Linked DNA regions of Notamacropus eugenii. The protein of the gene in region 1 purifies or fractionates together with the protein of each later gene. This does not show direct contact. Links are inferred from orthologs where the notes say so. Each region holds a gene or a part of one and is shown on either strand. Other genes may lie near its edges.

Region 1 (7,178 bases):
CATTCCTTCTAAGCCAGGATGAATTCCACAATCCAACTGTGAAAGAATTGGGAAAAAATTCATTAAAATATCTTTGAATAATATATAGTACAAATGTGTCTATGGAAAAAAATGTTTAAGTTGACATTAATTTGTCATGTTTAATATGGACAAAATATAATGGTGACAGATTCTACTCATCTATTTAATACTGACTTCTTAAAATAAATGCAAAGCTAGCTGTTTGTAAGACATTTATGATGACAGAGTGAAAAAATGTAAGTACTCAAGTAAGCACTAAGAAACTAAGTAACTTGTTCGTGGTGACACAGGAAGTATCAAAGGTGGACCCTGAACCTACTCTTCCCAAATGTCTCATTAACAGAATAGCAAATGAACCCTTCCAAAGAATCTGAGGATAATTTGGTAAAAATTTTCTTCATGGACATTAGACATCAGTCTGAATTTCTGATCTTTCGTCAATGAGGATCTACCCATAACCCATTAAAAAAACCAGTTAAGTCTACAATGTTTCTCTTGGAGGTGAGGCAGAATAAAGGAGCTAAGGCTTTGTTTCATGCATTCAGGTTAGACACTAACTTTGTATAATCTACCAACTTCTCTTGGTTGGAGAGGAAGGTTGGCTTAGTCACACTGTCTATCTTTTAATGTATTTTTTCACCAAATGTCTAGAATCCTGTTTGGAACCTTTGCACATAATTCCAACCCACAGAAGCAGAACTGACAACCTCTTTAGAATTTATTATAAAAAAGATAATTGGTTGGCAGATCTAGGTAAACATAATTTATTGCATTTATGAGTAGGATATTCCCAAAATTATGTTAATGCTTTTACAAAAAATAAAAATGACTGTTTTACATATTAACAGATTTATACTACATATGTGTATGTATATATATGTATATACACATATGTATACTTTACAATGATTACCATTATTTTTCTTCCTTTGAACTCCAGAATAATACATGATCTTCCTACTTCTTGTCCAGCCCCACTGTAAAAAAAATAACAAGAAACAAACATAAACATCTGTGCAAATGTATTAAGGCAAAATGTTAAAAGCAGCACAAAACTACACTAATAAATCAAACTATGCTTTCTCTCTGGGTTTCAGTTTCCTCATCTGCAAAAAACGAGGCAGGATTAGCTAACCTCTTTGGTCATTTCCAGCTCCAAAACTGTGAGTCTAAGAATGTGACTTCTCCACTTCTCTAAACTTCAACTCCTTGCCTTCAGTCTCAAAATATAATGAAGCCTTCCTTTATTCCAATACTAATCCCTCCACTTTTGCTGTTTAGATCATCAGTTCTAGCCTTCTTACACCTAACACTCAGTCCACTCCTAGCACCAGATATCCTTTGATCCAGTGACACTGTAATACTTTCTGTTCCTTGAACAAAACACACTAGACTTGGAATTTTCACTAGCTGTTCTTCATGCAAGGAAATGCTCTCCCTCTTTATCTCTGCTTCCAAGTACCAGATAAAATCTCACTTACAGGAAGCCTTTTCATCCTACCTTTTCCCTTCTTTATGTTTTTTCTGCACATCTGAAACTGACTGCCATCAAAATGCGCCTGCTGAAATCTCTCCCTTTCTTTAAGGCCAAATTTGGGTGTCACCAACCTATAATAATATCTGGCATTTATATAGGCCTATAGGGTTTGCAAATATTATCTTATTCTCATAACACTGTGAGGTAGCTGGTGCTATTGTCATCCACATTTTAGAGATGAGGAAACTGAGGCAGAAAGAAATTAAATGAAATGCTCAGGGTCACACAGCTATTACCTGAGTGATGCTACATTTTAACTCAGGTTTTCCTGGTGCGTTACTTTCCTCCTTCCACCTGGACGAGATTTCACCTTCCTCCGATTTCTTCTAGTACTCTGTCTGGATATTTCCTTCCTACATGGCATATTTTACCTAGCATCAGACTTATGTATAGATGCATGATTTCTCTAATTATAATCCAACTTCCCTACGGGCAGAGCCAGTCTAGCACCGTGCCTCACACATACCAGATCACAAACAATTGCCTTCTGTTTACATGTCTCTGGGGAAGGCAAGGACTCCTAACGAAAGACAAGGTACTCAATACCGAACAGAAACTTAACCAGCACTTGTCAGGTAATAATTGCTCGGATGTTTACAGTTCTTTCCGTATAAATTCTTCCTCTGGATTCTCAAAAAGAAACCGACCCTGTGAGAGGCGCGGAGTCAGAACCCCTCGCCTTCACGTGGAAGGAAACTCCAGCTCGGCCAACTCGGCGGGGGGGGGGGGGAGGTCTTTGGCCACCATGTCTTTTAGTCCCCGGTTCACTCGTGGATCACACAAGGCAAACCCTCCTGCCCGCAGGGGAGACAGGACAGAGAGGCCCTCAGAGCTCAGTCGGACGAGGGGTGGGGATGACAATGAACACAAAGGGATCTTGCGGCGCAGAGCCACGCAAAATAGTGTCAAGGCAAGTTTGAGGGAAAAGGCCCTGCCACCAGCGGTGGCCACGGAAGGGATCAGGGAGGGATTCCTGAGCAAAGTGGCTTTTAAGGAAGTGGTAGAGATCCGCAGGTGAATGAGGCCGAGCCCACAGGCGCGGGCAGAGTGTGGGGCTGGGAGGCCCCGCCTCAGGAGCCCCCGCGGCCTTCCCCGAGGCCTCCCCCGCCCCCCTCCCCGGGCTCGGCTGCGCGCAGCTTCTCCCTCCCCAGGGCTCCTTACAGAGGTCGGATCAGTAGCTGGTCGCTCTCCTCGGCCGGGATGGCCGACATCTCTGGGGGCAGGGAAAGGGATGAGGAGAGAGGGGGCCCGACGAGCCGCGACCACCACCACAAAGCGGCGACAGCGCAAAAACGCCCACCCCCGCTGCTCCCACGGCACTGCGACCACCACTTCCGGCGTCGCCGGTCTCGGCGCGAAGACGCTCAGGACTTTACTTCCGGTGCGGGCCAGACCCACGAGGTTTGGCTGCTTCCTTTCAAGCCGGGCAACGCGCGGGGCGGGGCTGGGAAAGGAGTTCTGCGCCTGCGCGGTGGGGATGGTGACGGAGTCGGGGGAGGGGTGAGATGAGAGGAAGGAAGGAAAGGGAAAGAAAAAAAAGCGGAGTGGGAGTGGCTGCCTCCGGCTTCTGGACTGAGACGGAAAACAGTTCCATCCCGGAGCCTCCACCCTTAGCGGTGGCCGTAGGTGAGGACCCTCTCCCCATTCCTCCCCGTTGCGCTGTTCTCTCTCTGTTTCTCCGTTGCACCTCGGCGCGGGCCTTCGGTTTCCCGCCTCCAGCGCCGCAGCCACACGCCAGCCTCCGTCGGCTTGGAATCGTGATTCCGAAGCTGGTCTCCGCGTGGGGGAGGGTTAGGTAGGCCTCTGGTTGCTATAGCGACCAGGAACAAAGGTGGGGAGCGATGGAGGGATGAGGAGAGGGGGGCGAAGGAGAATTGGTACCGCCCTCTTCCGTGGATCTGGGCGGTGGCCGCCGGACTCCGAGCCGGGAGAGACCTCCCGAGAGCCGGCCCGCCCCGCCCTCTCATTTTTACAGAGAAGGAAACTGAGGCTCTTGGGGAGAAAGCCCCCCCCCCCCGTGTTAAGTAGCCGAGCTGGCACTGGAACCTAGGAGCCGCGTGTCTTCCCTGATCCTCAGGGCCTCCGTGGCTGGGGCTCAGGGTGAGAAGGGGGTGCCCGAGGGTTCTGTGTGCTGGGGGGGGCGGTGAGAACCTGGAGGAAACGCTAATGATCACTGCTAGGGCCTTCTCGGGGATGTGAGGGCCCGCCGGGGGGAGGGGCCGTACACCCTCGGGTCCGCCGCCCAGCCTGCACGGACCGAGCGTGCCCGCCGGCCGTCCTTGCCCTCCCCCGGCTCGAGGAGGCCACGCAGGGCGTCCGCATCCACCCCGAATGTGGTGGTGGCGTCAGGGGCTCAGGCGTCTTCCCCGCTGCGTTCTGTTTCTCTTTTAAATCGTGTGCGTTGAAAGGTACCTTGGTGTGTCAGACGGAGACAGCTGTTGTGTAAGTTGTCCGCTTCGGACTTGGGCTCTTCTCCGGTGGAAGGCAAGCCAGGCTGAAGGGAAGAGGGTTCGTGAAGATGGTAGAATACGGCACCAGATTCACCCACAATTTAAAATAAGGCCTCCAAGTGAACTTTGAGAGTCAGAAAAAAATTGAACGGGCCATGAAGGAGCTTTGTAAGAATAAAGCATCATGACCAGATGGATTTACAAGTGAATTCTACCAAACATTTAAACATCAAATAATTCAAGTATTAAATGAGCTATTTGGAATAACAGAGGAGTCCTAGCAAACTCCTTTTAGGAAACTAATATGGTGCCAATATCTAAACCAAGAAGAGCTAAAACAGAAAAAGAAAATTGTAGATCAATTTCTTTAATGAATATGAATGCAAAAATTCTAAATAAAATATTAGCCAGGGGATTACAACAACATATCACAAAGATTATACATGATGCTAGGTTGTGAAAGACCGGACCTAATCATTTGTCTCTTTCTTAGAACAAATCCTGGTGTTGGGTTTTGGGGTGTACAGGAAGAAGGGGCTGAGGAAGGCTATGAGTATCCAAGAAAATGATTATTTAAAAAATTTTCACAGGAGTAGGGGAAGAGACTTTGTTTTACAACGTGTCCTATAACTGTGTCTATGAAGGTACTATTCTGTAGCCTTCTCTGTATAGCTTTGTTTCTTTGCCGAGGATTTGTGTTTACCCTATTCTTAGTGACTTCCTTGCAGCTATGATCTCTGGATAAACATCACTTGACCTATCATTCCGAATTGTTTTGTTGGATTGTGCACTTTTATCATGTTTTCCTTCGTAGTCTGCTGTTGGAATCTCATAGGGTAGATTCTCCAGATTCATTTCGGTGTTTCAAGAGTCTCTGGTTCCTGGTTATGGGGAACAAAGGGGAGGGGTATCTGAGTGAGACAAAAGCCAGGAGCACATCTTCCCTACCTCTCAGTTAGCTTATTTAATTTCCCTTCTTTATTTTTAACCGAGCTAAAAGTCATCACCAGCACTACCTTCCCCTGAGGGCATATTTCCTAATTCTTGCCCCAAACTGGTTTGTTGTAATGGCCAGTGGGGTCTGCCTAGGTACACACCACCTCTAATCTTATTACATAATAGTTGTGTAACTTTGGGACAAATCATTTCATTTCTCTTGGCCTTAATTTCTTCCTTTGTCAAATGAGAGGATTGAACTAAACAATTTCTAAGATCCCTTTCGTTTCTATTTTTTTTAAATTTCCTTTCTCTCCCCAATGGGGTGGACCCATGGTAAAGAGAAAAAGTAGATTTGTGTTCATCTAAAAAAAGGAGGATGATTCAGAAGTGAAATGTTACATGTACTTTCAAATGTCATTGTATCATTGGTTTTACTTAACTGTTTTACCATGTTCTGAGAGACTTCTCATGACGTGAGAGTAAATTGTAAATATATGTAATATAAACACAAAGTACATCAAAAAGTCCAAAAGTGACCCCCCCCAAAATCCCATGAATCTAATTACTACTATTAAAGAAAAACTCTTTAAAAAAATAAAATTTTATTGATATATTTTGTTTTTATGTAACCCACATCCACCAGTTATATGCATCTCCTTTGCCCTCCCTCAATAGAAGTGTTAAAAAAAAAAAAACTGTACATGGTGACCAAATGGGATTTGTACTGGGAATGTAGGGATAGTTTAACATAAGGAAAACTATTAATATAATTGATTATGTCAATAACAAAAGTGACAAAAAGAATATAATTATATCTGTATTTGCTGAAAAAGCTTTTGACAAAATGCCACACTCATTCCTATTGAAAACACTTGAAAGCATAGGTATAAGTGGATTTTTTCCTTAAAATGGTAAGAAGTATTACCTAAAACCATCAGTAAGCATCATTTTTAATCTGGGTAAGCTAAAAGCCTTCTCAGTAAGATCAGGAGTGAAACAACGATGCCCATTATCACCAGTATTATTCAGTATTATATTAGAAATGCTAGTAAAGAGCATTTAGAGGAATAAAAGAAGTTGAAGGAATCAGAATGAGCAATGAAATAAAGCTGTTTTTAAAGATGAAAGGATGATATACTTGGAAAATCCTAGCAATTCAATTAAAAAGTTAGTTGGAATAATTATTGATTTTAGCAAAGTAGCAAGATTTAAAATAAACCCACGTACATCATCAGAATTTCTTTATATCATCAACAAAAAGTGCAAGAATAGATACCCCACTTAAAGAAATTGTAGACAGTACAAAACACCTGGGAGTATATCTACCAAGAAAAACCCCAAAAGTACATGAGCAAAAGCATAAAACAGTTTTTATACAAATAAAGTCAGATTTAAATGATTGGAAAAATATTAATTGCTCCTGGGTGGACAGAGCCAGTATAATAAACATGACAATCCTACCCAAATTAATCTACTTATGCAATGCCATTTCAATTAAATTACCAGAAAATTATTGTGTTGAGCTGTAAAAAATAATAAAATTCATTGGGAAGAACAAAAATTCAAGAATATCAAAGAATTAATAAAAGAAAAACATGGAGGAGGCTTAATGATACCTGATCTGAAACTGTGTAATAAACTATATAGTAAAGCAATAAATCAGAACTGTCCTGTACTAGGAAAAGTGGATGAGTGCAACAGAGCAGACATGCAGTACTCAGTGAATGATCAAAGTAACCTTGCGTTTTGACAAATGCAAAGATTTAAACTTTTAGAATAAGTATTCACTATTTGGTAAAAATTGTTGAGAAAACTAGAAAGCAGTCTGTCAAAAATTAGGTGCAGACAAATATCTTCTGACATTTACCAAGATAAGGTCTAAAATGCATACAAGACCCTGATATAAAAGGAGATGTCATAAGAAAATTAGAACAGGGAACATAATGCCTGTAAGACTTATAGAAAGAAGAATTATGAACAAGAGATAGCATTTTGATAATGTGAATTGAATAGTTTTATTTTGTTACATTTAAAAGGTTTTGTACAAATAAAATCATTGTAACCAAGATTAGAAGGAAAGCAGAAAATTGGGGGAAAATTTCTATAGGCAGTTTATCAGGTAAAGACCTCATCTCAAATATATAGAGAACTTTATCAAATTTATAAGATTGTGAGTCATTCTTCAATTGATAAATGGTTAAAGGATGTGAACAGGTAGTTTTTTGATGAAG
Region 2 (8,093 bases), on another chromosome or scaffold:
GATCCAACTATAAAGTCTCTCTTCCAACGAGGTGTCCCCTCTATATATACATACACAGTCCCAGTTTCATTCAAGATTCCTTAATGAGATGATACAATAGGAAAATCTATACGAACCTACTATGGTCTAGCACTTGAGAAACAAAGAGAATGAATAAAAAGTCTCTACTTGAAAAAGGCATTACTTTCTAATGGGGACCACAAATACATATATAAGTATATATAGAGAATAAATATAAAAAGAATCAATACAAAGTAGTTTGCTAAGAATAAGCAGTCAGGGGAGCAGGAAAAATTTCACATAGAAAAGGTGGTATCTAAGTTGAATCTTGAAGAAAGAAAGGAATCATATGAGGCAGAAGTCAGGCCTGGTGAGCATTCCAGGCACAGAGGGTAGCCAGTGAAAAGGCACAGACATGAGAAATAGCACATCATATCAGAGGATCAGAGAGAAAATTGGCTTGACTGAGTCATAGAGTACAGGACGGAGAAGAACATACGGGTCTGGAAAGATTGATTGAAGCTAGATTTTAAAAGCTAAACAGAAGAATTCATACTTTATCCTAGAAGCAATAGGAAATGACTGCAGTTAATTAAGTAAAGGTCCTTCAAAGAGTATAAGATAAAAGGTGATCGATTCCCTAGGGACAGTGAGTCTCCAGATATCAAACACTGAAGACCATCCTAAGAGATCCATAAGAACTCCAAAGAATTTGGCTTAACATCCACACAAGAAAAGCCAAGTGCCTATATTATAACATACAAGTGAAAAGATAACTTGTAAAGCTTACATGCATGTATATTTATACATGCACATGTATAATATGTATATGTATGCATATACGTATGAGAAATATGTAGGCACATATAGATCTGTATCTATGCAGTAGTATAAGTATGGATGTAGATATAAATATCAATGTGGATTATGCATCAATATATATGGATGGGATCAAAGTACCAATGGATAAGTTAAGCCCAGAATTAAACACAAAAGCAAGTCAAATTGCCTTCAGAAAATTACAAAACTCCTTTAATGATAGTTAACTATCACTGGATACAGTACATGAAATACAACTCTAAATAAATGAAAATAAATATCATAAAGAGGGCAACGAAAAGGCTTACGGTGGGTGTGATCAGGGGACAGCAGTCAATAAAAGGAAACTTAAAAAACAGAAGCAAAGGATGTTACCAGAGAAATATATATCTGAAAGATGGATTTGTCACATAGAGAATCTAAGAGAAAATTGATGAACAGCATGTATGTACAACAGCATCCTCACCATGTCAAGAGAAAACAAGGAAAGTACCTCTTTTCTTGCAAAGAAAACCTGGGCAGCTAGGTGGAACAGAGGAGGAAGCTCTGGGCCTGGAGTCAGGAAGACTCATCTTCCTGAGTTCTCAGATACACATACTAGCTATGTGACCCTGGGCAAGTCACTTAACCCTGTCTGCCTCAGTTTCCTCTTCTGTAAAATGAGCTGGAGAAGGAAATGACAAATCACTCCAGTATCTTTGCCAAGAAAACCCCAAATGGGATCATGGACACAGCTGAACAACAAATAAAACTTGTGCTTTCTTTCTTATTCAATTTGAAAAGGTAATGGAAAAATAGTGTACAGTTAATTTAAGAAGGCTGTCAAAATGACCACTGTAGTGGAAAGAATGCTGAATTTGGAGTCAGGAGACTTAGAGTATGTATCTTACTACCAGTGAAGCCTAGGGAAAATCACTTCCTGTGCCTCGACCCGTTTCCTCATCTACAAAATGGGAGGATCAAACAAGAAGAGGTAAGGTCTGCTTTGTTTCTATTAAGTGAGATTTGCCTTGGGACTGGATAGGTAACAAGGGTGAGGAGCACCAAAGGTGAAGAGGATACAGACACACCCTGAGACACTCATGCCACTCCTATTCAAAGGGCAATTTGGAAAAGCACCCACGGGTTAACTAGGTTAGTAAGGACTCAAACAGGTCAATAAAACACTGGCTTGGCACAGGATAGTTCTCAGATAAACTCCACTTTTTTTTAACAAAAATAAGTCATCTCTTCACAGAGCAAGTGACATGAGCAAATCAGAATAATCATAGGATTATAATAATTATTATAATTATAAAAATAACCATCAGTTTGTTTGGAAATATTCTAGAGATCGCCCAGAAAAAACAACAATGTATCACACCAGAGTTAACCTCAAAGGAGAATCGCGGACTAGGTCTAACGAAGAGGGCGGGGCTCAGGGTTGGTTAATTTCAGATAAAGAGAAGAGAAAGGGAAGGAAGGGGAGGGCGGAGGGAGAGACAAGGTGGCCAGGCCCTCGGAGTCTCCCCTAGCCGGAATGACGTCAGAAACAACTGCTCCCCGGCGCGTGCGCCTTCAGCAGGGTAGGCTCGCGCCTAAGCCTCCAGAGGCGTCAGCGAGTTGAACGTGCCAGGCTCTCCGGAGCTAGTACACAGTCTGTTGGCTCATCAGCCACGCGTCAGGTGTACCCCGCTCCCCAGCTAGGCATTTTACGCACACCTGCAGCCTTCTCCTGCCCAGTCACGTCTGCATCCTGGGGAAGAAGTGGGATGCGCTGGCTGGGGCCCGGGGCGCAAATCCGTGGACAGTCCACCCCGCCCCACCCCTCGCTCGGGCCCCCAGCCCTTTCCCTTGCCCAGCCAGCCGTTACAAAGTTAGGGACGGAGAGGTGGGTAGCTTTATACCGGATAATCAGCAGTGCGTTCTGCAGCCGCTTCCTAATCTCCAGGAACATATCCATGGCCAGCGCTCCCTGGCCTCTCTTCCCGCCAGGCAGTGACCTGGGGGAGGGGGAGTGTTGGGAAGGAGGTAGGGATACGGTAACTCACGCTGCCGCAGCTCAAGAGAAGCGCCGCCCGCCCCCACCGCCGGAGGAGGAGGAGGAGGAGGAGCAGGAGGAGGAGCAGGAGGAGGAGGAGGAGGAGCAGGAGGAGGAGCAGGAGGAGCAGGAGGAGGAGGAGGAGGAGCAGGAGGAGGAGGAGGAGGAGGAGCAGGAGGAGGAGCAGGAGGAGCAGGAGGAGGAGGAGGAGGAGGAGCAGGAGGAGGAGCAGGAGGAGGAGGAGGAGGAGCAGGAGGAGGAGCAGGAGCAGCGCACCGGGCGCTCAGCCCCATCCGGAGCAGCCTCTGGCACCGCTGGCCACCGCTGGCCACCGCTGCTCCCTGCAGCCCGGTCTGAGGACTCGCTAGCTTGGGGAGGAGAGCAGGGGCGAGGAGAGTGCGTGTCCAGGGGGCCAGGCGGGGCTGTGAACACCGAGGGGTTGAAGGAGTGAGCAGAGTGAGTGTGGGGGCTTCGTTCGTCTGACAGCATAGGTGACTCCTATTCGGAGTGGGCGAGACGTCTCATCCAAACTCTTCATTTCACAGATGGAAGAAACTGAGGCAGCCTGACACGGTGCATAGGGCTATAGATTTAAAGTCAGTCAAAAAACATTTATTTATCGCTGCTAGGGAGGCATCGTGGTAAGCCCCGCGGACACCTAGAAAGGCAAAAACGAGACATCCCGCTTTGGACTAAGCAGGTCCTTTAGTTTCAGTTTCTTCATCTGTAAAATTAATTATTTGGTGGCCTCTTCCAGTTCTAAATCTGTGATCCTATGAGGCCCAGAAAAGGATTTTGAGTGGGATCAAATAGCAGACAAGTTGCAGGATTCATGTATGTTTTCTCCCCGGGAAAAAATTACTATTTGGTTAATAATAGCTCATTTAATATGAAACGTTGTGGTTGATGATTTCCAGTAAGCAAGAGAAGTATTCTTATCCCCATTTTACAGATAAAGAAACTGAAGTTTCCAAGACGTAAAATGACTTGCCCAAGGTTATAATATCAGTAAAGGATCTGAACCAGGACTTCAGCCTTCAAGTTCAATCACTCCTTTCACTATTTTACACTATCTCTCACTGATTTGGTGACCACAGGGGTTGCCTATTTTAACCCCCTTATTTGACAGATGCACAGAGGCCCCATAGACATCAAGAGACTTTTCACACACACAACTAATGCATAGGTTACAAAAGTGGGTGATATCACCCCCTGAGGGGCACTGGAATAATAGGGGGAGCAGTAGTAGACTCCAGTGCAATTGGGGCGGGGGGGGGGGGGGGGGGCTTTGAATAAAAAATTGAAAAAAAATTTGAGGAAGTGGAAACATAAAGAAAGAAGAAAATTTTGAAAAACCATTTGTACGTTTCATATGTTTCATCTGTTGTGTAATAGTTAAAGTCGTAGTGATTACATTATTTTCCAAATAAATACACAAAATGCAAGTTATAACGGATCAGTGATAAAGACAGGTCTTAATAATCAAGTGCTGGCAGACCAGAAGTCCAGCATGCATTGGCAAGAACACGTGCATGGAATGATTTGTTTACAATACAATACTATGCTGGCAATACTGCATCATCAAAACTTCAAAACTTCAATGCAGGAAGAAATCACAAATTTACAATAATTATTAAATTTAAGATGCATCATTTCAAAAAAAATTTATATTTTTTGAAATGATGCAAATTTCCAAAAGAAAAAATCTGTTGAAGGGTTAAAGAAAGTATATTTCCAAGGAAGCACGGAGTGATTTTTTTTGAAAAGGGGAAAGTAAGCCAAATAAGTTTGGGAACTTCTGAATTAGGGGCAGGGCTAGGATTTAAACTGCAGGCTTCCTTACTGTTGGACAAAGCACTTAACTTTCAGAGGCACCAAGGATAAGAAGAGAAGCAGCTGAATAGGAAAAAAAAAGTATCAAATTTGTTATTCAATGAAACTAAAAGTTATTCACCATTAAATAAATGGTAAAAGATATATACAATTCTCAAAAGAAAAATTCCATACTATTAACAAATGTATTAAAGTGTTCCAAATCACAAATAATATGACAGATAACAAATCAAAATAACTCTGATGTTTCACAATCACACCCTGCAAGCTTGCAAAGACAACAAAAGAAAGGAAGAATCTATGTTGCAGGGGTTGTACACACTAGTGCATTGTGTCAACCTCCAGAGTTCAGTCTAAGAAAGACAAACAGAATTAGGTTATATGTATGTTTATTTCTCTTGAGCTGGCAGGCATACATGTGGAACTGCAGTTCAACCTGAACTTTGGGATTAGGCTACACAGATTATAAAGCCATGAAGCAAGGAAGTGCCCCTGAATAAGGTTTCCAATAAGCAAGACAGTGCCTCTTACTCAGGATGCCTGTACAACCTTAATCTAGTCTTGTGGTTGCTGAAACAGCAGGAGGATTTTTGGGTTCACTCATAGAACATCACAAAGGATTATTGAATTATTGGTATGTCAGTTCAGAAGGGCTCAAATTGTCTTCTCTGATTGGCCAGTCCAGGTTTTCAGCCTTCTTTGGGTGAAGAGGGGCTCAAGTGGGTCTCACAATTATTAGAGCTGTGATCATCACAACAAATTTTTGAAAGCAATTTGGAATTAAACAAATAAAGTGACGAAAAGTGCATACCCTTTACCCAGAGATTTCAGTATTAGGTTTATACCCCAAAAAGGCTATTGATAGTGAAGAAAGTATAGTAACACTTTGGGGGACAGCACAAACTTGGAAATACTGTCCATTGATTAGGAAATGGCTAAATTTTCTAAGGCTTCAATTTCTTCATCTTTCAAATGAAGAACTGGATTAGATAACCACTAAGATCATGAAGAGGTATTGTAATACAGTAGAATGAGCTTTAGACCAGGCATCTAGACTAGGACCACCTCCAGTCATCTTGATCTATATCTTGTCATGGGACACAAAGGGGTCCAGAGGAGAGAGTGAGGCTGGTGACTGTAAAAGCAATGACCCTGGCATACACAGGAGAGCCTACTATCACAGGTTCTTAGATCTGCATTTGTAAAAGGAGAGCAGCTTTTGAGGGATCAACAATCACTTTAATCAAGCACATGTATCATTCACTTAGTTCAGGGGAAAAAGTCAGCACCCTGAACTTCAGAGAAAATACAAAGAAATAATAATCAACAGATATGGCTTCCAACTGTCTGACATAAGCAATACAGCTTTAGCAGATGCGCAAAATCTCATCTGGCCAAACCAATACTTCCAGTCAATAAGGAAGTAAACCCTCACCTCAGAGTCTTTATACACTTTTTAGAGGCAGAGGGCATCACAACCCTTGAGAACCAGTGCCTCATTAACAAAAGGTGTGGCTTTCCTACAAATCTCCCCAGGCCTATTAATGGGTGGGGAAGATCTTCTTGAATCACATTACCAATCAGAGGCACTTGATCCTACTAAAACCAAAAAGGTATTTACCATGATTTTGCACAGCCCTCCCTCACTTAAATCCAATTTACTTGCAAGTCATGGCATCATCTTCCTGATATGATTGGTCCTCTTCCAGAACGAAGGACAGACAAAGACTAGGAGTAGAAAATAGCCTTTGAATACTACCTCCAACTCATAAAAGTCATGGAACTTCTGTAGGTCCTCTGTTTCTTCATCTGAAAAATGAGAATAATTTCTGTAGTACTTTCAGGGCCATGTGGTACTCAAATGAGTACTAATCTGTTTTGAAAACCATTAAAAATGTTACCTATTATTATCTCATAACTCTGGCAATCAGTGATTCCCCTAATGGTGCCCCTTGTACTCCATCATCCTATGGACAAAATCTTTGACAGATGGTCATCTAACCTCTACCCAAGTGTTTCCATTGATAGGGACTCCATTTAAAGAGGGAACTCAGCACAGTTTTTCTCCCCATTACCCACTAGCTATGCTGATTTTGGACTTCTCTGAAACTCCCATAGTGCTATCACAGGTAACTTCCCCCTCCTCTGGCTTTTCAGCTTCCTTTGGTGAGCTGTCTTTCCTTTCCTCCACCGTTCCCCATTAATGTGTAGACTCTTTGAGGGCATAGATTGTCTTTCTTTCATTTGTATTAGTTGCTCCATCAGTTACCACTGGATGCCTGACACTTACTATAATAAATGCATATTGACTACTGACAGGAAGATCACTGCACATTTCATTTTGGAATCAAAACCTATTTTGGTATTCATTAGGGTATATATGTCAAGAACTTCAGTCATTTTTCGTTTGTCTTTTAAGGAGTGGTTAAGACAGATAAAGGACAAAATACCAAAGCCCCATGGCTCAAGTTAAGAGAAAAAATGAATGAAGTAGAAAGAATAAAGAGCAAGTGACTAGCACAGATATGCTAAGAATGGAATGTTAACCTGAAATAAAGAAAACTGCAAAAACAGAAAAACCAGGGTCTTCTAATGGAGGCAAGGGAATTGCAATCCAGGGCCACCCGGCAGAATGGGTAGAGGTGGGGCAGGGTTAAATACACTTCAATAGGCAGGAAGTCCCATTGAAGGCACAGCCTGGAGAAGCAGTTTGAGAGGCTTGGTAGTGGTGCTCTTTTCTTTTTTTTTAATGGTTTCTATACTTCTCTTTTTCGAAGGGAATTGTGATTATCATATTAATCGATATGACATATCTAAATAATGATATGATAGATATATCTAAATAATAATTTAGATTTTTTCAGAGCTGTGTCTCCAGGTTTTCAAGTCAGAAGCTTACAATGCAGCTTGAAATGATTAATCAAATTCTTGACAATGCTCTCACAATCACTGCATTCTTTTACTTATGTACTTTAAATGACCCAAATCAAAGATTGTAGAACCTGTTCCTGTTGAAGAACTCTGGTCCTGTGCCCCACCAAATAATGACCCCTGGAGAGTTGAAACAATACTGTTCCCACAGGACTCCAGATCACCTGTATTGTGGACTTGTGGGCTTGTCATGGGAAATCATTCAAGCCTTGGAAATGATTGTTTGTAATCCACCTTCTCCTCCCCCTTCCCACTTGTGATTTATGTATAAAATCTCTGCCTTCACTACAGTATGGTGGAATTATGATTAGGAGAATTCCCAGTTTGCAAATCTGTTCCTTACAATGAAGCTAATTCATTAAATCGCTAAGTGATTACTGGCACTTTGTCTCTGGCCTGCTCTGTTTCATCATTCCCAGGTTAGAGACTGACTCAGTAAAACACTGTTAACCCTTTTAACTGAGTTCAATTTCCCTCAGGCAATTTGAAG
Region 3 (7,753 bases), on another chromosome or scaffold:
AAGTTACTGTTGCTGATTGTAATTTTAAGGATTCAGATGACTAAATCAAAACTAAGAATTTCAGTCTTTCAGGTTCATGAATGAACAATGATCACCTTTATCAAATAGTATAATTAGGTTTACAAACTTAGCAGCACTAATCTAATGTTAACAAAGGACTGTACCTCAGGAGTCCTTTCTCAAAATATGATTACTGCAATAATAAGCAAAGATTGAAAACAATTTAGTCTAGATTAATCAGAACTGATATGGGTAGTCTTTAACTTAAGAATGGGTTGCCTTTTATAAGCTTATAAAAAAAGCTGGAATACATTTTCCCATAGAAATTGAAAACTAATAAGATTCCAAATTTTGCTCCCAAAAATCTACTTAACTCAAAATGTAGGCAAACTTTGATATTAAAAAATATTAAGGAGTCCACTTTTATGTAGTGATTTTTGGTTTATAAGTACTTTTTCCAAAAAAATCTCTGTAAAGTTGGAAGAACAAGTATAAATACCTTCATTCTACAGAAAAGGAAACCAAAGCTTCAGGAAGGTTAAATGTCTTGCCCAAGGTAACAGAACTACAAGTGTAGGACACTTTTCAACCAAGGTCTTCCAACTCGGATATCTTGCTCTTTCTACTATAAAGTTTTAACATGGCAGTCTAGGAAGGCGTTTAAGTAGTAAAGGCATTACATGAACCAGTCTCCTAAATCTTCTCAGTGGTCTGTCTCTTCTGTATCCAGAAATTCTCTATAAGCTGAAATTCTTTCACACTGATCTATGGACTTAGTGGAGAAGAGGCAGGGCAGCATATAGATGGCAATTTGTTTATATAGGATGATGGTAAACTGAATTTTTATAGACTGGAGATTTCTTGTATATTAATTCAATAAAAGGTAGCCACACATTCACCCAAGCACATCAAACAAACATATACTCTACTAATAAAGCATTAAGCCATTTAAACAAATTGGGAAGGGGTAATTTTCCTGGCCACTGTATTATTACTATACTAGTTAGAACTTTAGAAAAGCCTAAGGAATGTATAAACTCAGAAAATTCCCCATTTGGCACATAGTTTTACTGAATCACTGTAAGGTAGTAAATAGTAAAAAAGAAAAACAAAAAAAATGTGAAAATAACAAAAATACCATGTCCTAAGTTTTTAGCATCAGAAGCAGCATGGCACAAGGCACATAAGCTGACCGAGCAGTGAAGGTAACTTAAAACATACTGGTTGTGTGACTTCGGAGCTCATTTAATCTCTCATTACTCTAGGAAACTCTAAGACTACAGGTTGCAGAGAAGATAGGAGCTTGTGTTGGCAGAAGGGGTTTCCTCACACAAAAGTTCTCAATATCCACGAAATCATAGGTTCAGTCTCTATCCCCAAGCACCTGACAGAAACTAGAAAATTCTTCTCTCTATTTTAGAAGCAGGTCCTTAAAACCTTAATCAACTACAGATTTCAGCTTAACCTTGATCATCACATATAAAGTCCAAATTCCTAACTATAAACAATGGTAAGACTGGCACCACTACATAATCAGTACCGCTATCAATCGGGAATTTCACTAACCTGGCATTTTCTTCTTCTGGCCTTTCAACTTCATTTTCATCTGTCAAGAAAAAAACATAAATGAATTGTCAACGAATCTTTAAAACTGGAAGCACAAATACTAACCCAATCTTTCAAAATTCACCCTGTATGTCACAGACAGCTGTTTCTTTTTTACAAATATCTAAAAATCTGCGGCTTTTAGATTTTTCAAAAATAGAAAATTTGACCTTATTTTTATATTTTAAGTTAAGTTTCTCAGGCGTTGGAGTCTCAAAATCTCATTTAAAATTTATTTAATGCTATTGATATTGTTCCTGGCACACAGTCTAATTTTGGTCTCATTAAATGGATGCTTGGTACAGCCTGGTATCATCTTATTAACTATGCAATTCCAAGGCCGTGACCGTGTCCGGAAGTCACTCGGACATGTCAAACATCCGTCTGCCTGATCCAGGCCAACAGCATCCAAGACAAGGTTAGACTCTCAGAAAATCAGCAGGCGAAACGTGACTACAGGAAACGTAAACTAAGGGATAAGCTGAGGTGTCTGGAGGACACGTCAGTAGGAGGCGGGAGGCCAAGCCCACGCACCCCACAAACACTTATTGAGTAGCTTGTAACTCCGCGCGTGGGGCTCGTGAGTTCCTCGGGTGATGCGCTCAGGTTGTCTGGCTACATCCAGGGCTAATGGAAAAAGACCAACAACAAGCAAGTCGGGCTCTTCGCGGGCCCTGAGCCACCTGGTCCGTCTGCGACGGACGTGCCAACAAGTCCCCCGGCTTGCCGCCACTTGTTTTATTTCTGGTGGACTTTCTAGCATCACCACGGCCGGGGAGAACACGGCCCGAAGGGGCCCGGAGCCCAGCTCCGGCGGCCGCGGCGCTCAGGGGCTCGCACCCCAGGGGGCGGGCAGGCCGCGGCCGGGTCCGGAGCTAGGAGCCGGGGCCCCGGGGAGGCGCGGGTTGCGGGTGCAGAAGGAGGAGCTCCCGAAGGGTTTACGCGCGCGGCGCTCGGGCCTAGCGTCCCGGCCGGGGCAGGGAGGCCCAAGGCCCGGGGTCCGAGGCGCAAGCACGCCCGCCGCCCCCCGCTACCGCGGGACGCGGAAAGAAGAGGCCTGGAGCAAACCGGCGGAGGGGGGGGAGGGGAAAAGGAGCGACCCCGAGTTGCGTACCGCCATAGAGCCACTCTTCCTCCTCATCCCCACCGGTCCCGCCGCTCAGCTCCGACACCAGCCGCTCCACCTCCCCGGCCGACATGGCCGTCCGGGCTACGACTGGGAACAAATGCCGGGACCACCAGCCGGGCCTTCCCCCCGAGCTTCGCTTCCGATGGGGGAGTGTGAGGGCGCGGGACTGGGAACCGCACAGGAGCGGACCGAGGCGGCGATCACGATGACGAGCCCCCCTCCCCAAGCACAGGTTCGCTCGCGCACGCGCAGCCCGAACTCAGCGGCGCGACGCGAGGCCAGCCCAGCCAGGTACGCGTGCGCCTGCGTGCGCGCTTGCGCGAACGCGAGACAAGCGCCTGCCCCTCCCCCGCACGCTAGGAGAGGGTGGAGCTTCCTCCAGCACGATTTCCTGCCTCTCTGGGCATCCTTCCTCTCCTTCAGAACCCTCTCCCATTTTCACAGTCCTGACAGCTTCAGACTTCTCTGGCTTAGGTGTGCTTCCGCCCTGCATGCGTACTTTCCTCAGGTCCGCGGTTTTCTTTTTTCCTCCGTGTTTTTTTCCGCTCCATCTTCAGAAAAACGTCCTGTGTTAGAAAGGATACGGAATTAGCGCTGCGCCGGGCGCGGTGACCCCTTGGCTTTGGGGCACACAGCGATCCGGTTTGAGTTCAGTGAACGGTGCTAGACTTTTTGAGGAGGAGCCGCCCCCTGGAAAGGTCTTCCTGCTCCTTGTCGAAGGAAGTCAGGCTTTCTTCTGCGTGCCCATGGACAGGGGCACATCGTAGCGTCAAAATTGCTTTAAAATAATTTTGTAAAAGGAAGTTCTCATACTTTTTGTTGTGGAGCCCTTCTGTCTTCCTATACTAGCCCCTTTCCCAATTACCTGCCTGGATTATTTATAGGTATTCAAATCAAGTCAACGAGCCAAGACACTTCCAAAAGACTCAAGATGAAAAGTGTGATACGCCTACAGAGAGAACTGAAGAATTCTGACTGCCCAGTGAAGCGTGTTTTTTCTTTTTTTAATTTATTTTTTCACTTTATTTTTCCTGCTTTTTTTTTAAGGTGGCTAATGTGGAAATATGTTTTGCATGACTTCACAAGTATATATAATTGATATTGCTTGTGGGGGAAGGGCAAGAGGGATAGAATTTAAAACTCAAAATTTTTTTAAAAGGATGTTAAATTTTCAAATATACAGAAAAATAAAAGAAGTGCTTGTTTTAAGATTGTGTTGGCCCCTGGCCTACCTTCCAATTATCTCAAATGCTTCCCTGTTAAGAGAGATGTGTTGTTGTGTTCATCCTTTCTTTTCAAAGAAGACCATGCTGTCAGAGAAATTGACATGACTTGAAATTGACTTTGTTTTGAGTGAGGGAGGGCAGGTCACCAGCCTCACTTCTCCTCCAGAGCCATCTGGATCCAGTGACCAGATAGTCCTCAGGATGAGTGGAGATGGCCTAGGATTCAATGGGAGACCTTGGTCTTTTGCCTTTTCAGGTACTCACCTGGAGGGAGGTAATGCCCATTCAGTGAATAGGCCTCTTTCAGAAAGTAGTCAGGGAATGGCCCCTTTAATGAGCAAAAGAAAACAGAACAGTCAAGTTAGGAGGAAAAAAGAAATTGGTACTGTTGATAATCACTCTAAGCCAGCTATGTAGTGGAGCTTGGGCAGGGACCTATTGAACAGAAAGAAAAAGAGAGAGGAGAGAGAGAGAGGGGAAGGAAGGAAGGTAGGAAGGAAGAAAGACATGTAATCAGTAAACCTCAAGTTAACTGGACAGTCTATGGCCATCCAAATTTACCTTCCTTTGGAGAGAAGAAGGAAGGGGAGAGGGAGAAAGAAGAGGATAAGCTGAGTTACCCAGCTAGGTGGCTCTCCACTCAGGCAGCTCAGTCCACTTGAAGGTTGTGTTCGTCCTTCATTTTCGAAGACCATGACATTAGAGAAATGATGACATGACTTGAACTTGGCTTAGTTTTGAGTGAGGGAGGACTGTGCAAGGTCACTTCTCCTCCTGAGCCATCTGGATCCAGTGCTAGATATCACACACACACACACACACACACACACACACACACACACACACGTATGTTTGGGGGGGTGGGGAAGAGAGAGAGAGAGACTGCTTTTTTGTTATTATTTAAGACTGGCCTTTAAATTGTTTTTAACTTCAGTCCAAAATATTCATCAAGATCCCCAAGAGATCATAAAAATGGGAAAGGGTCCCACATGTACAAAAATATTTATAGTAGCACTCTTTGTAGTTGCCAAAAACTGGAAGTCAAGGGGATGTCCATCAATTGGGGAATGGCTGAATAAATTATGGTATATGAATGTAATGGAGTACTATTGTGCCATAAGAAATGATGAACAAGAAGACTTCAGAGAGGCCTGGAAGGACTTATATGACCTGATGCTGAGTGAAAGGAGCAAAACCAGGAGAACTTTGTGCACAGCAACGACCACAGTGTGTGAGAGTTTTTTCTGGTAGACTTGAAATTTCGTAATAACGCAAGAACTTCTTAAAAAAAAAAAAATCCCAATGGTGGTTCTCAAGGCAAAATGCCTTCCACACTCAGAGAAAGAAATATGGAAGTCATTCGCAAAATGTAGCAGATCATGTTTGTGTATGTGTATGTTTTTGTGTATCATGTTTTGATTTGTTATATGATTTCTTACATTTATTTTAGTCTGACTACATAGCATGACTATAGTGAAAATATACTCAATAGGAAAGTATATGTAGAACCTATACAGAATTATATGCAGTCATGGGGAGGGAGGGGGGTAGTGGGGGGGTAGGTGTGGGGGGGATAAAATCTCAATTGTATGGCAGTGATTGTTAAACATTAAAAAATAAAAAAAAATTAAAAAAATATTCATCAAGGAGTTAAGTAGAATGTAACATCATAGGAGATATATAAGAATCTTGAATAGCAAAAAGTGTTCTGCCTCAGTGATCATGTTGAGAAGTGTCAAAAATTGCCATGAGATTGAGTATTAAAAGGAGGAATATGTTTCCTCTTGGAGATGTCTAGTCCTTCTCCTCTAACCCCCAATACCTGCATCCCTACCTGTAACAAAACATGAATGACTGTAAGAGTTATTGTCCAAAATATATACTAGTAAGTTTGTCATCCACAAAATTCAGAATATAGTTAAAAACCAAAACAAACACTCTGTGATATAAGTAGGCATGGCAATTTTTCAGAAGAAGTCATGCTCTATGAACAAATTTCATTTTGAGGACCCTTCTGAATGTTTACATTTAGAGCTCCTTATTTTCTCTACATTAGAATGCTCTCATAACTTCCACTTCTTCTTTGAATGGCGACTTTCTTCATTTCCGCTCACAGGACACTGGGATGTGTATGTAAATCTGGTTCTATCAAGAGTCCAATTCCAATATTTCCTACAATTCCCAATATTTTCTCAATGTAACTATGAAAATTAATCCTGTGCAGGCAATGAATTGACTAACATAGAGAAGAATAAATGTAAGCTTTTCCTAGTTCTGTTTGTTCCAATACTCCTTCATAAGCACCATGAAAATCTGTTTAAAATTCTACTTGAGTACATGTAGGCTTTCCTTTCCTTATCTTTAGAATTTGCATTTTAATAATTCATTTTATCCATTTCCAACCTAGTTCTCTTAAAATGTTTTATCAAGTCCCCAGAATAGCTCTCAGTTAAATGACAGACTGATTAAGTCAGTTTTGTAAACAAGAAAATTGAGAATCAGAAAGGTTAAATTTATTTACCAAGATTCAGACAACCATTTAGAGGTGGAAGTCATAGACAATCTAGATTTTCCCTAGTCTTTATATTTGAGTTTATCCCAGTCTTGGCCCTTAAGCCATAAGCTCTTGAAAAGGCAAGGAACTGTGTCTTCTATTTAATTTGTAGCTTCCTACAATGCCTCAGAAAACGCAGTGAAGTATTTTATTCAATCACAAAAAACAATAATTATTGAGGACCTACTACATGCAAGGAAGTTTGTAGATTTAGTGACAGTGGTCAAGGTCTCAAACAAGAATCCCTGACCCTTTCCGGAAACTTAATTGGTGTATAGGATTTGACTGATATGTTCAGTTGGGTTATCCAGATTTACATATGTAAGTTTTAATGTTGATTTCTAAGTGGAAAATATTTCACTCAATCTCCTAATGGGGTGATGGCAAACTGCTAACGTTCATAAAGCACCTATAAGATAATCAGAGTGCTATAGATAAGTAAAGCAGAGAGTCTGCCCTCTAGGTAACTAGGGCCTTGTAGGAGGGTTGTTTGTTAGGAAAGATAGAGGAAACAAATAATTGTAACATAATAAAGATATACGATTTTTCATGTTATATACAAACTATGCGTGAAGGCAAAGAACTGTGCCTGTGTTCACATGCTTTTGTGTCTTTATGTATATATGCAATTAAATATTGTGTTTTGTTGAACTTTTAAGTATTATTCCTTGGGACAATGTGAGTTTTCTGCCAGGATAGCAAATCCCTTTATGAGTAGAATTTTGTTTTATTTATTATTTTACATCTTCTTGTTTAGTCCTACCATGGCACATCATTATGATGTGATAACCTAGAGGTAACCCTAATTTTTCTAAAAGCTGTACTAGTATAATATAGATAGATCCCTCAAACATAAGCCATTCTGTTGCTTGGAGATTGAGTTGGAGAGGAGTTCTGCACAGATTTAGTCACCAAATAATGAAGTGTGCTTGGTTTTTTTTCAGGCATATTTTTTTTCATGTATTCTATGGCATTAAAGGTATTGTAGTCAGAACTAATGGAGGGAATTATGAAATTTTGAAGTAATAAAACATTAATTTTAGGGACATCCCTCACCCTCAAAATGTCACTGGACAGTTTCACTTAGGTCTTACAGAGCACCAATGTACAATAGGAATTGGAATGGACCTTGATTTGGAAAAGAAAAAATAAGAGAATTTTTAAGTGCATGGGTGAATGACATCTTTTTTGGATGATTTCCATCACTTTTCTTACTGATTCTTATGTTTTCATGACTGA

The links.
Region 2: the proteins of CPSF3 (region 1) and UBE3D purify together in Homo sapiens (affinity purification with mass spectrometry; 4 studies listed by BioGRID and IntAct, counting the BioPlex papers as one, with this or other methods). This does not show direct contact. The link is inferred for Notamacropus eugenii from reciprocal best matches to the Homo sapiens genes CPSF3 and UBE3D.
Region 3: the proteins of CPSF3 (region 1) and FIP1L1 purify together in Homo sapiens (affinity purification with mass spectrometry; 5 studies listed by BioGRID and IntAct, with this or other methods). This does not show direct contact. The link is inferred for Notamacropus eugenii from reciprocal best matches to the Homo sapiens genes CPSF3 and FIP1L1.

The regions. Positions count from the first base shown.
Region 1 is NC_092872.1:549,754,478-549,761,655, forward strand, and holds the start of CPSF3 (cleavage and polyadenylation specificity factor subunit 3), read right to left. Parts: upstream 3,019-7,178; 5' UTR 2,770-3,018; coding exon 2,720-2,769; intron 2,134-2,719; exon of another isoform or gene 1,999-2,133; intron 1,912-1,998; exon of another isoform or gene 1,795-1,911; intron 999-1,794; coding exon 935-998; intron 37-934; coding exon 1-36. UniProt on the Homo sapiens protein: Component of the cleavage and polyadenylation specificity factor (CPSF) complex that plays a key role in pre-mRNA 3'-end formation, recognizing the AAUAAA signal sequence and interacting with poly(A) polymerase and other factors to bring about cleavage and poly(A) addition.
Region 2 is NC_092873.1:155,792,830-155,800,922, forward strand, and holds the start of UBE3D (E3 ubiquitin-protein ligase E3D), read right to left. Parts: upstream 3,013-8,093; 5' UTR 2,762-3,012; coding exon 2,706-2,761; intron 2,555-2,705; exon of another isoform or gene 2,521-2,554; intron 2,501-2,520; exon of another isoform or gene 2,183-2,500; intron 1-2,182. UniProt on the Homo sapiens protein: E3 ubiquitin-protein ligase which accepts ubiquitin from specific E2 ubiquitin-conjugating enzymes, and transfers it to substrates, generally promoting their degradation by the proteasome.
Region 3 is NC_092877.1:104,813,776-104,821,528, reverse strand, and holds the start of FIP1L1 (pre-mRNA 3'-end-processing factor FIP1), read right to left. Parts: upstream 3,098-7,753; 5' UTR 2,805-3,097; coding exon 2,720-2,804; intron 1,607-2,719; coding exon 1,567-1,606; intron 1-1,566.